3 linked regions of the Mus musculus genome follow. The protein of the gene in region 1 interacts with the protein of each later gene in a biochemical or structural test. Links are inferred from orthologs where the notes say so. Each region holds a gene or a part of one and is shown on either strand. Other genes may lie near its edges.

What was found. The genes of interacting proteins can lie anywhere in the genome.
Region 2: of the proteins of Mapk9 (region 1) and Elk1, one has a biochemical effect on the other in vitro, tested with the Homo sapiens proteins (2 studies listed by BioGRID). The link is inferred for Mus musculus from reciprocal best matches to the Homo sapiens genes MAPK9 and ELK1.
Region 3: the proteins of Mapk9 (region 1) and Junb form a complex in vitro, tested with the Homo sapiens proteins (2 studies listed by BioGRID). The link is inferred for Mus musculus from reciprocal best matches to the Homo sapiens genes MAPK9 and JUNB.

The regions. Positions count from the first base shown.
Region 1 is NC_000077.6:49,853,161-49,856,811, reverse strand, and holds part of Mapk9 (mitogen-activated protein kinase 9), read right to left. Parts: intron 2,600-3,651; 5' UTR 2,552-2,599; coding exon 2,430-2,551; intron 2,076-2,429; exon of another isoform or gene 1,879-2,075; coding exon of another isoform or gene 1,835-1,878; intron 1-1,834. UniProt on the Homo sapiens protein: Serine/threonine-protein kinase involved in various processes such as cell proliferation, differentiation, migration, transformation and programmed cell death.
Region 2 is NC_000086.7:20,948,008-20,951,758, reverse strand, and holds the start of Elk1 (ETS domain-containing protein Elk-1), read left to right. Parts: upstream 1-1,150; 5' UTR 1,151-1,319; intron 1,320-3,751. UniProt on the Homo sapiens protein: Transcription factor that binds to purine-rich DNA sequences. Forms a ternary complex with SRF and the ETS and SRF motifs of the serum response element (SRE) on the promoter region of immediate early genes such as FOS and IER2.
Region 3 is NC_000074.6:84,976,318-84,980,068, forward strand, and holds Junb (transcription factor jun-B), read right to left. Parts: upstream 2,432-3,751; 5' UTR 2,113-2,431; coding exon 1,078-2,112; 3' UTR 592-1,077; downstream 1-591. UniProt on the Homo sapiens protein: Transcription factor involved in regulating gene activity following the primary growth factor response. Binds to the DNA sequence 5'-TGA[GC]TCA-3'.

The DNA of each region.
Region 1 (3,651 bases):
CAAAGTAGCAGCTCACCCACTGTTGAGTTTATTTTAGCAAAAGTAAACTTTTTTGGTTTGTTTTATAGGAATGTGCCATTACCAGATCACCCTCCTATCCTATCTGATACCAAAGGATAAATACAAAAGTAGAAAGGGGGAGGGGAGAGGTACAATCACTTCTGAAGTTTTACTTTCCTATGTTAGAACTTAAGGTGGGTGGGTACTATAAAACTCTCAGCTACAGTTATAAAATTAAAGTGAGTATATATACATATATATGTATACACATACATACACACATATATGTATATATATATATATATATATATATATGTGTATGGAAGCATGTGTGTACATATGTATGTATATGTAGGTATGTATGGGTATATCTGTATATGTCTGCATATGTATTCAAGTATATATATAAATATATATATAAGTATGTACACATGAATATATATACATGTGCACAAATTCATGTATGTATATTTAAATACATATAACATACATATGTATACATGTTTCTGTTTGGTGCTGGCAAGAAACTCAGGTACTTTCACATGCTAGACAAGTGCTCTACCATTGAGCTTCCTCTCTAGCCCTACACAGTTCTTGAATGTAATCAGTGTCCTATGGAGATGAATATAATTTATTGAGAGATTCTAAGGAATTTTATTAATATTGATTTATTCATCATTATGAAGATCCTGAACAGAGATTGGGTCAGAGCCCTGGTCATATAAAAAATATCAGTGATTCAAAGTCATCAAGCTTTAACTAAGTGAATTAAAGTCCCAAGACACCAACAACTGCTTTAGACCTAGACCTACCCCCTGAACCCATGGGAGACAAAAGTCAATGAGCCTTCCTTGTCCTCAACTGCATTACATATACAGAGAGGGTCACGGAGGATGGCATGGTTATATAATATACACTATTCACTTCACTAAAGTAAACGCCCCCAAAGTAATTCCTGTTCCCCTTCGGCAATCCTCTTATCAAATTATTAATTCCAAATAAGAAAGGTTACAATCAAGCAAATATATAATATTCTTTCTATAATTTTCTATCATGGTGCTAGATTTTGGAGAATTTCAGATTTCAGATTTTGGAATTACAGATGCCTATCAGTAAACACAAATACTGAAAAATGTGAGAAAAGTCTAAACTCAGAAATACTCTGCTCCTGAGCAGTTGAGAGAAAGGACATTCTATCTGCACTAAAGCACATTTTCACTGTTAAGCCCCCACTGTGCACACACTCTTTCATGTAGCGCCTTCTCCTTCCTCAGTCTCTCCTCTGAGCCTCCTAATCTGCAATCCCGAGCACCAGGGCCCCGGCTGCCCTCACTGAGGAAAAGAGCAGGCAGGTCTCCCTGATCAGTCTGCAGCGGAGTCTCAGCTGAACCCACTGATGACGCTAGGCTCAGTGTCGTCACAGGAAACCAAAGCTCTCCTCCCAGAATGCCTGGGAGAGTTCTTTCATTTTCAATTCTCTTGGCCTACCAGTTATAAACATGAAATGTTTTTATCTTATCACAGTATTTTATTTATATATTCTGGGTTTTTGAGAGAGGGTTTTTCTGTGTAGCTCTAGCTGTCCTGGATGCACTTTGTAGTCCAGGTTGGCCTTGAACTCAAAGAGATCACCTGCCTTTGCCTCCCAAGTATGGGGATTAAAGGCATGAACCACCACACCCGGCAATCACCAGCAATCGCAATTTCTTTTAAAGACAAAAAATAATCTTGTTGATTAGCAGGGGGGAAAAAAAGCTTTGTTCAGAACACTACAGACTAAAAAGTTTGGGAGGTGCTGACAACAGAGGTCTAGAAAACACGTGAGAAACGTTACCTTTGTCTGGCCAGTGATGTCGCAGCAGCTGACTGTCTTACCATGCAAGAGCCTAAGGTTCAGGGTCAGACTAATGGTTCTGACGTCCTGGGCTGGACACATAGTTGAAGAGAGACACCAAAGAAGAGACGGCCAGCCCAACCCCTCACACAGCATCCCTTCCTGGTTAATCCATGGTGTGATAATGACACTGCCTGGCCTCATCCTGCCATTGAATGGCAAGGCACTGCAATGATGGCGCCTGGAAATGAACAGGAGTGATTGGGAATAAAAGGAGGAGGGGGGAGAAGGTGGCCATGATGAAGAAATGAATAAAACGCCAAATTCCGGTTACACCAATCATTCTGATATCATAATGGCAAGGCAAATGAAAAGATAACAAACAAATAAATCAATAAAGCCAACAACAGAGCAAATGAAAAATTGAGTTTGTATCCTACACATGACTGTATATAACTACAGCAAGGACTGATTTAGTTTAGCTCAAATTCTACAAGAGAGATTATTTTTTTAATCAGTGCTACTAAAGTCTTACTCAGTAGTTTCACTTTTTACTAAAGGCTTCGTCTGTGCTATTAGAACAGCCCAGACTTACCAAACAATTCCTTGGGCTCCAGAGCCGATCGGTTTCAGTTGCTGGTAACGTTTTAGAACAGTGAAAGTTGAGTCCGCCACCTGCACACTGTAAAACTGACCATCGCTTTTACTGTCACTCATGATGTAGTGTCATACAGGATCCTGAGGGCTGCTGCCTTCGTCAGACCCCTGAGGAGAGAGAGAAGCAGAGTGAGCTGATGAGCTTGTATGCATACACATACAGATTGTATACACAGTGGTTCTGATCTGCTGGGACTTCAGATGGCATGGTCAAAATGGGTAAATCAGCTTGGCCACGCTCTCCATTTAAGCAAGGGGCATATAACCCCCTCCACTCCAAAAAGACATTTCAGTAGTGTAAGATCATGAAACAATGAAAAGAAAGAATTAAAACAAGTATTTTCTAACATTTATTTAATTTATGCACCTGGGTGCTTTGTCTGAATGCTTGTGTGTGTGCCTGAACAGCTGTGAGCTGGGAATGGAACTTGGGTCCTCTGGGACAGCAGTCAGTGCTCTCAACCTCTCTAGCCCTGAAAGGAAGGGATTTTTGAGATGCACAAAGGCCACATCTTTTAAAGGACTGGATTATAATAAAATATCTTGGGGCTGCGACACAGCTCAGTAGCCGAGTGCTAGCATGCACAAGACAGTGAGTTCATATTAAAAACAGGAATGGGGTTGGGGGTGGGGAAAGAGCCACCTCTGGAGAAAAGAATCCACACGTTCTTCCCAGCCACAGCGAGACTACTATGTCACTAATGCATCGCATCCACTTCCTTCTTGTGCCATCAGCTTATGTCTAGAAGTCTCGGCCACAGATGGGGGCATTGTTTTGGAATGATTGATTCTAGAACTTCTAGAGATAAGTGGAATAGTCCTCTAAGTGTATGGATTCAGGTTCAAGTGATAAACCACAGATTGAGAGCCATATGCCAGAGACACAAGCCTTTTACCAGTATTAGAGACACTGGTATGAGCTGTGTAACCTACAGATGGGCCTGTTTCGTGAAAGTGGCCAGACCTGGCCTTCATTCCCATAGCTCTTTGCTATGGCTGCTCACATTCCATAGCTGGACTAGTACAATACCAGGCTAGCTGCCTTGAACTTGGGGATTAGAGCTGATAGACTAGGCTCAAGAATTATATAATTTCATCTCAAGATTTAAAATCATTCTAAAATGAAAATAAAGTTATCTTGTTAGGCAAGAAGAAAGTCA
Region 2 (3,751 bases), on another chromosome or scaffold:
CTTTAGAACCTTGGCCCTGCTCCTCACAATTCCTTTTCCTAGATATTTGTATCTGTGCCCTTTGTCTTACCATAAAGAATGGACTGAATGGGCTGAAGATGAGATTCAATTGGTAGCATGCTTGCCTGTCACACATGAAACTTAAAATTCAGTCCCCAGTACTGTGTACATAAGCTAGGTGTGTGGCACACCTGTGACTTCAAGAGATAGAGGCAGAAGGATTTAAGTTTAAGGTAATCCTGGGCTACATGAGACACTTGAAACAAATTTTTACAGTTCCAGTTCAAAGTAATTTGTTTCCATGGCCGTCAGCTTTTTACTTCAGATCTTAAGGTTTATTGTCTCTCACAGTCCAGTGGTCATCCAGGTACCCTAAATAACACTACTGCCCAACCCTTGACTTGGTCCCTAAATCGTAGTTCTAATAGTTCTACTTTCAACAGTATGCAGAGATCCTGCCCTCCCTGCTACAGCCCCTACAGTCCCTAGGTTTAAGTCCAGTCATAGATCACTAAGAACCTAAATCCACCCTTACAACTGACTGTGGCTAGACTCTGCCCTTGTAGACAGTTAATTTCCACCTCTCATATACATTTCCTCTGTATATCCGGCAGCCATTCCGGCCTCCACCTTTTGCTGAATTCAAAGTTAGTTTTTGCCTAGCTAATTACCCATAGCGTTACCCTACCCCCCTCCACAGAGTTGAGTCCTACCCTGCTGCTATGGCCCTTTCTAAATAAGTCCTGTTTCTGCTGAACGGTATGGTGTACAGCACCACCTACTTTGGTGTTTTGGCCACTGTCTGGGAGAATCCTCCAATCAGCTGAAAACAGCCCATCACCACCCCTCCATCCTCTGGGACTGTCTGTCTGCCATCAATCTCACTTAAGCCAATCGGTGTGAACTGGGCGACCTCCCCATCCCTCCTCAAACCTTGGCACTTGGCAGTCCTCCTTGACCCAATCGGCGTGAGGCACTAGCGCCGCCCAACACCTCTATAGATTCAGTTGGCCACCCGCAGTCCATCAATCCCTTTTAAGCCAATTGTGTTACAGCTCTGTTAGTATTCCTCCACCACCCAGGCCCCTGTGCTTAGGATCCTTGGCATTTTGTCCAATCAGCAAGCAGGAGGACGCTTGGCTCCTCCCATGAGAGCCCACGTGAGCGGTGGGGAAACGCAGGGGCGGCTTCTGGTTGCTGCTTCTGCTGTCGCCGCCACCACCGCCGCCGCCTTGGAACCGGGGCCTGGGGGGCGGTGGGGCCTCGTATGGAGCCCCCGCCCCCCGGAGCTGCCACTGCCACCGCCGCGCCACTCGCAGGTGAGCCCAGGCCCACAAGGTGGAGGACCCTGTCCATGACCCCACGTATCCTCACCCCCGCGCAAGGGATGTGGTTTGGCCCAGCCTGCTGGTATTTGGCTCCACTACCATCAACTGATTGCCCCTGTGTGTGCATTGCCTGCTCCTTTTGCCCTTTATAGTAGATCTGAACGTGGGCTAACATCCTGCTGTCTGTATAATGGATCTGTCTGTGAGCTTATGATTTTCCCCACCCCAACTTAATGGACTCGTCCGTGGTCTTGCCCTCCCCAACCCCCACTTATTGGAAACCAGTCTGTTGCATTGTCCAGTCCCCCTTTAGTCGTAGCTGTGTCTAAAGTGTTTCCATTTCCCCTAGCCTCAAATTTAAGGGGAACCTTCTGTGGCTTTGTTTACTGAACCCCTCATGTTTATTGTAGTGAATCAATCTGTGGCACTGTTCCCACTTAAGACACCCCATTGTTTGTTCAACAGTGAGTCCACCTAAGTTTACATTATTGCCCCCCTTGAGTCCCCAGTGCATAAGCCCATGACTTTATCCACCTCCTCCCATTGCCCCCATCTTACTGTGAATTAGTTTGCATGCTTGCATTCATATTCCTCTAGTTATCACCGCCCTAACTTTTCTCCCTTATTTGTAGACTCCAGTCTTTGAGCTGCTTCCTTTTAACAGTGGGTCAGTTTGGTGCTTTGCAATTTTTATTTTCATTTTCAACAGCCCAGTCTATGGCCTTGTCCTATCCTTCACTTTAATTAATTATTATGTGATGGCTTTTCTTCTCTGCGGTTGTATAGGTATCAGCTTAAACCACATCTCACTTTTGTAATGAATGAGTCTGTTCAGAAGCCTTCTGCCACCCCAGTGTTTACAGTCTCTCAAATCCTCAGAGCTTGCAATCCCTCCCCAAAGGGGATAGATAGGCTTTGTACTTTATTTCCCTCCTCCTCCTCCTATGTATTGGGTCAGTCTTCTCTGCCCCCATCTCCTAGGAAGTCCTGTGTACTTGTAAAACCCAGGGACTTTTAATATATGCCATGTTCCTCATAAACTCTCTTTTTGTTTGTTTGTTTTTTGTTTTGTTTTTGTTTTTTGTTTTTTTTTCAAGACAGGGTTTCTCTGTATAGCCCTGGCTGTCCTGGAACTCACTCTGTAGACCAAGCTGGCCTCGAACTCAGAAATCCGCCTGCCTCTGCCACCCAAGCGCTGGGATTAAAGGCGTGTGCCACCACTGCCCAGCCCTCATAAACACTCTTAGCCACTAGGCATTTTACTTTGCTATAGTTCTCAACTATAGTAGTGGTACTATTGCTAATGACAGTCGGATCTAACTTTATACTTTACACTTGCTGTGTACCAGGCAGTATTCTATAGTCTCCAGCTTGCTTATAGTCTCCAGTCTTCATCATAGCCCTGTGAGACAGATAACTGAGAAAACTAGGGCATGTGGGTTCACAGATGGCCCAATAACTACTTAGATAGGGGAACACTTTTGACATGCCCCTCTCTCACCTCATTGCATCCCATATGAGGGCACATTCCTTAACAGCCAAATTAGTTTCAATCACCCAGCTTTTGTTTCTGCTGTTCTTTCTGACAACAGAGCTGTCTCCATTCTACTCTGTTCTCAGGACCCATCAGCTCAAGTCCTAGCAGTGGTGTGACTTTACATGAATGACTTAACTACTTTCTTCCTGTACTGGGCTAAAATGGGGGAGTCAGAACTATAGCCTTTCCAGTGTGAAAAAAATGTGTGGGTTAAACAAGTCACCTCACTGACCTTATCTCTTTCATCTCCACATTTCAGATCCATGCTATAGCCATGCTAACCTCACTGCTTCTCAAAAACAGCCGGTACAGGCCAGCCTCAGGGCCTTTGCATTAGCTCTTCTTTCTCCATTAACACTACTCCCACATCTCTGTATGGTAACTTTCAAGGTACTGTACACTTGCCATACCCAAAGGAATTTTTTCACTACCCTGTGCAGGGAACACACTAAAGATATTTGTAAGAATGTCATTTGATTTGTGAATAAAATGAGCGTAAAGGAAATGTGATGTTGGTGATATGAAAAGGCACAAATAGAAAAGATGTTTCAGAGAGTGCTTTCATGTCTTTGCATCTTGGGTAGTGTAATTTTAGTAAAACATGTATTTGTCACACTGGTGCTTGGGATATAATGTATAAAGGTATATACATAAAAAGGTTTCAAATATCATTTTTTGTATCAAAGTAGTCAACACCCACCTCTCTTTGACTATCTGATTTTGTATACCGAGCAGGGTTCAGATCTCTTTCCTGCTTGCTTTGGCCCTTTATACTCTGTCATGGTTAGACATGCTATATAGCTTATATAAATAGATATCTGTCTATCCTCCTCAGAATAAACATCCTATGGGAACTTACAGGCTTTATCTGCCCTTCATGTAAAAA
Region 3 (3,751 bases), on another chromosome or scaffold:
CAACTACAGGAAGGCTGCAGTTACTCTCCGCCAGGGTCGGTCTAATGGAGGGGGCGTGGGCGCGGTGGGGCTCCGGCGCCGGTCTGTTGAAAGCCGCTCGGATGGCTCCCAGGGCTCATGAGAGCACGGCCCTCCCGCCGCGGGCGCCCTGGACCCGGGCCTGGGGCTTTCCGCGCCCAGAAAGCCGCCTGCTCGGGAAAATCCCGGCCCCCTTCCCGGCGCCGCGGCCCTGCCCGGCAGAGCGGGGGGGAGGGGATTCCCGGAATCTGCCCGGAGACCGCGCTGGCGTCACTGAGCTGAATAGGCCCATATATGGGCAGAGCTTCCGTAACGTCAGCGGGGAAAGCCCCGGCGCACTCTGCTGGGCGGGGTCATGCTTGCACATTCCGCGTTTTGTCCTGGGTAGCTTGTTCCCCGCCACTGCCCGCCTGCGCAGCGTCTGGTGCCAGGACTCAGGGGATAGGAGGTCTGGGCGTTTGTACTGAACCTTATGATACCTGAAAGGAGCGAGCTACAAACAGCACCGTGCTTGGGGTAGCCCAATCTTCTCCCTCCATCCGCCCAGCTTGGAAGAAAAAAGAGACCACAGAAATTAATAAAGACAATTTTTTTTTTACTTAAATAGATTCAATAAAAAGTCAAACACACACACACAAACACATCTTAAAATAGACTTTAGACACGAAGTGCGTGTTTCTTCTCCACAGTACTATGCAGAGGGGGAGGGCAGGGGGCGGAGGTCCCTCCCTAGTATCCCCGCAGGCTGAGTACCAAGCGGCGGGGCCAGCTCCGCCGCGACAGCCCCCTTCTCCCCTCCCTGTTAAATACACAAATATATTATATTCAATATGAATTCAGTCTCTTTGCAGAAAAAAAAAACATACAAAATACGCTGGAAGGGGGCCATGTAAACCTCGAGGTGGAAGGACTGGGCGCAGGCGGGCGGGCCGGAGTCCAGTGTGTGAGCTGCGCCCCAGGCCTTTTGGCGGGTGCCCATCGCCTGCCCCCCTCACCCCAGTGGGGGGCAGGCGCCCAGCCTTCAAGGCTGGGGGTGTCCGTATGGGGCAAGGGAGGCTCTCAGAAGGCGTGTCCCTTGACCCCTAGCAGCAACTGGCAGCCGTTGCTGACATGGGTCATGACCTTCTGCTTGAGCTGCGCCACTTGCTCCCGTAGGAGACCGGCAGCACTCGACAGCCCCGCGTTCTCAGCCTTGAGTGTCTTCACCTTGTCCTCCAGGCGCGCGATGCGCTCCAGCTTCCGCTTCCGGCACTTGGTGGCCGCCAGCCTGTTCCGCAGCCGCTTTCGCTCCACTTTGATGCGCTCCTGGTCTTCCATGTTGATGGGGGACACAGGCGGCGTGGCGTCGCGGCTGCGTGCCTCCGGTACGGTCTGCGGTTCCTCTTTAAAGGCGGAAGCGCCGCGACTCAAGCCCAGCTGTGCCGGGTGGCCGCCCGCAAAGGGTGGTGCATGTGGGAGGTAGCTGATGGTGGCCGTCGGGTATGAGCTCCCAGTCCCGACGGCGGTCCCGGAGCCTCCAGAGGGTGCAGAGGCTGGGGAGTAACTGCTGAGGTTGGTGTAGACGGGAGGCGGCTCCGGACCAGCATAGACGCCCCCTGGGCCGGCCTGGGGACCCCCGCTGGCGCCCAGGGACACGTTGGGGGGCGTCACGTGGTTCATCTTGTGCAGGTCGTCCAGGGCTTTGACAAAACCGTCCGCAAAGCCCTCCTGCTCCTCGGTGACGCCGCCCCCTGTACCTCCACCGCTGCCACCCCCACGGGGGTAAAAGTACTGTCCCGGAGGCGTGGGCGTCGTCGTGATCACGCCGTTGCTGTTGGGGACGATCAAGCGCTCCAGTTCCGTGGAGGCTAGCTTCAGAGATGCGCCTGTGTCTGATCCCTGACCCGAAAAGTAGCTGCCTGCCCCACTGCCCTCCGGGCCTGGACCCCGCGCCCCAGGACCCTTGAGACCCCGATAGGGATCCGCCAGGTTGAGCGCCAAGGTGGGTTTCAGGAGTTTGTAGTCGTGTAGAGACAGGCTGCCAGGGCTCCGACCGTATCCCGCCGCTGCGTAAGAGTCGTCGTGATAGAAAGGCTGTTCCATTTTCGTGCACATCCGGGCGGCCTGGGCGATCTGGGAAAGGTCCCCCTGAAGGGCCGCCCCGGGCCTCGCTGCGGCGAGCGGCGAGCTGTCCTCGGCTGTGGCAGGACCCGGTGTCCGGTCGCGCGTCCTCGGGAGCTGGAGACGGTCAGCAGCGGCCAGTTGGCAGCTGTGCGTAAAGGCGCTGCTGGGCTTCCGGAGATTTTCTCTCCCTCCGTGGTGCGCCTGCTTTCTCGGCGTCGCTTCCCTCAGTTCCCCGCTCCCAGCAGGATCCTACGCTGGCCTGGCCACCCTCAAAGTCCCCAGTGCTCGGCCCCAGCCCCAAGCTTTTATACTGAATTTGTCAGCTGCGGAAGTGCACTCCGATTGGCCGACGCGGGAGCCAGGCCCCCGCGGCCCCCTCCTAGAGCGTGGGGAAGGGGAGGAGGCGGCTCGCGTCACTGTCAGGAAGCGCGTGTCCTTGTAAACAGCGGCCACGAGCCGGGTGGCTCTGCGCGGCTGCAGGGGGAGGGGCTGTGGAGACAGAGACACACAAGCAAAGGGATGTTGAGGGGCCGAGGCACATAGGGGCTAGAACTGCGGGAGTACAGCCAGGTGCTTATGAGATACACTGCAAGTGGAGATTGGATACCTTAGGATATCCCCGGAAAAGTCTCGTGGGACCCAGGGTAGCTGTGGCTTGTGAACTGACAATACAGTAGAAGACCCCAGAAAACAGAGAAGATACAAAACAGGGGCAATTGTTAACATTTGGCCTAGGAATTAACCAGAGGTCCCGGGTACAAAGTGCTTAAAGAACTGGAATTGTCAGTTGGGAGGAAAGGGCCAAGACACAACAGGGCTCAGGTACCTATTGTACAAGAAATGAGTAGGGGCTCTAGAGTCCATAGATGAGTCTGAGGGTTTCCCCATAAGTGGAAAAGGGAAGGAATTTTGGGGAGGTCAATTTAGATATTCAGAACAAAGGTCCTGGGGACGCTGAGGTAATCGGAGTAGAAAGATGGGAACATATCTAGCAAAGGTTGGGGTCATTGTGGATATTTGCAGAACTCTGGCAGAGAATTAAAATGGTCACGACATAGCTTCCTTCCGAGCTATGAAGGCAATGACAGGAGGGTATCTGAGATCTTCCTGAGAAGATGACTCGGAGGATCCCAGAGACCAGGACTTGTACGAATGAGGCTGTACCTCGTAGGTGGTCCCTAGGGCACTGACATGCCCAGTACCTCAGCCCAAAGCCCTCCCTTAGTCACCCGGGGCTCGCCCGATATCCTGTCAGCTTTTGGAGGGCCGATGGGGCGGGATAGCTGGGGTGCGGTCGCCCAACCCCACTCCCTTCCTTAGAAACAGGCTAGGGAAAGAGAGCCGAGGCAGGAAGTGTGGCAACAGCCCCGAGGGGGAAAGAGCCCGGCCCTGTCTCGTCATTGTGAGCCTAGGGGATGGTGCACCCTACCCTGGGCCTGCCAAATTCTGCGCCTGGGAAGAGGAACCTCGGCAAGCGACCCTTGGGGAAGTCACAACCCAGCTACAGACGCTTCTAGTCATAGTCTGATCTCCCCCATCTAGAAATGGTTCAGCCTGCAACCATCGGCGACTAATAAGCCTGGCAGCCGAGGACTGTTCCATTGGCCGGCTGGAGGGGGATGCAGCCTGG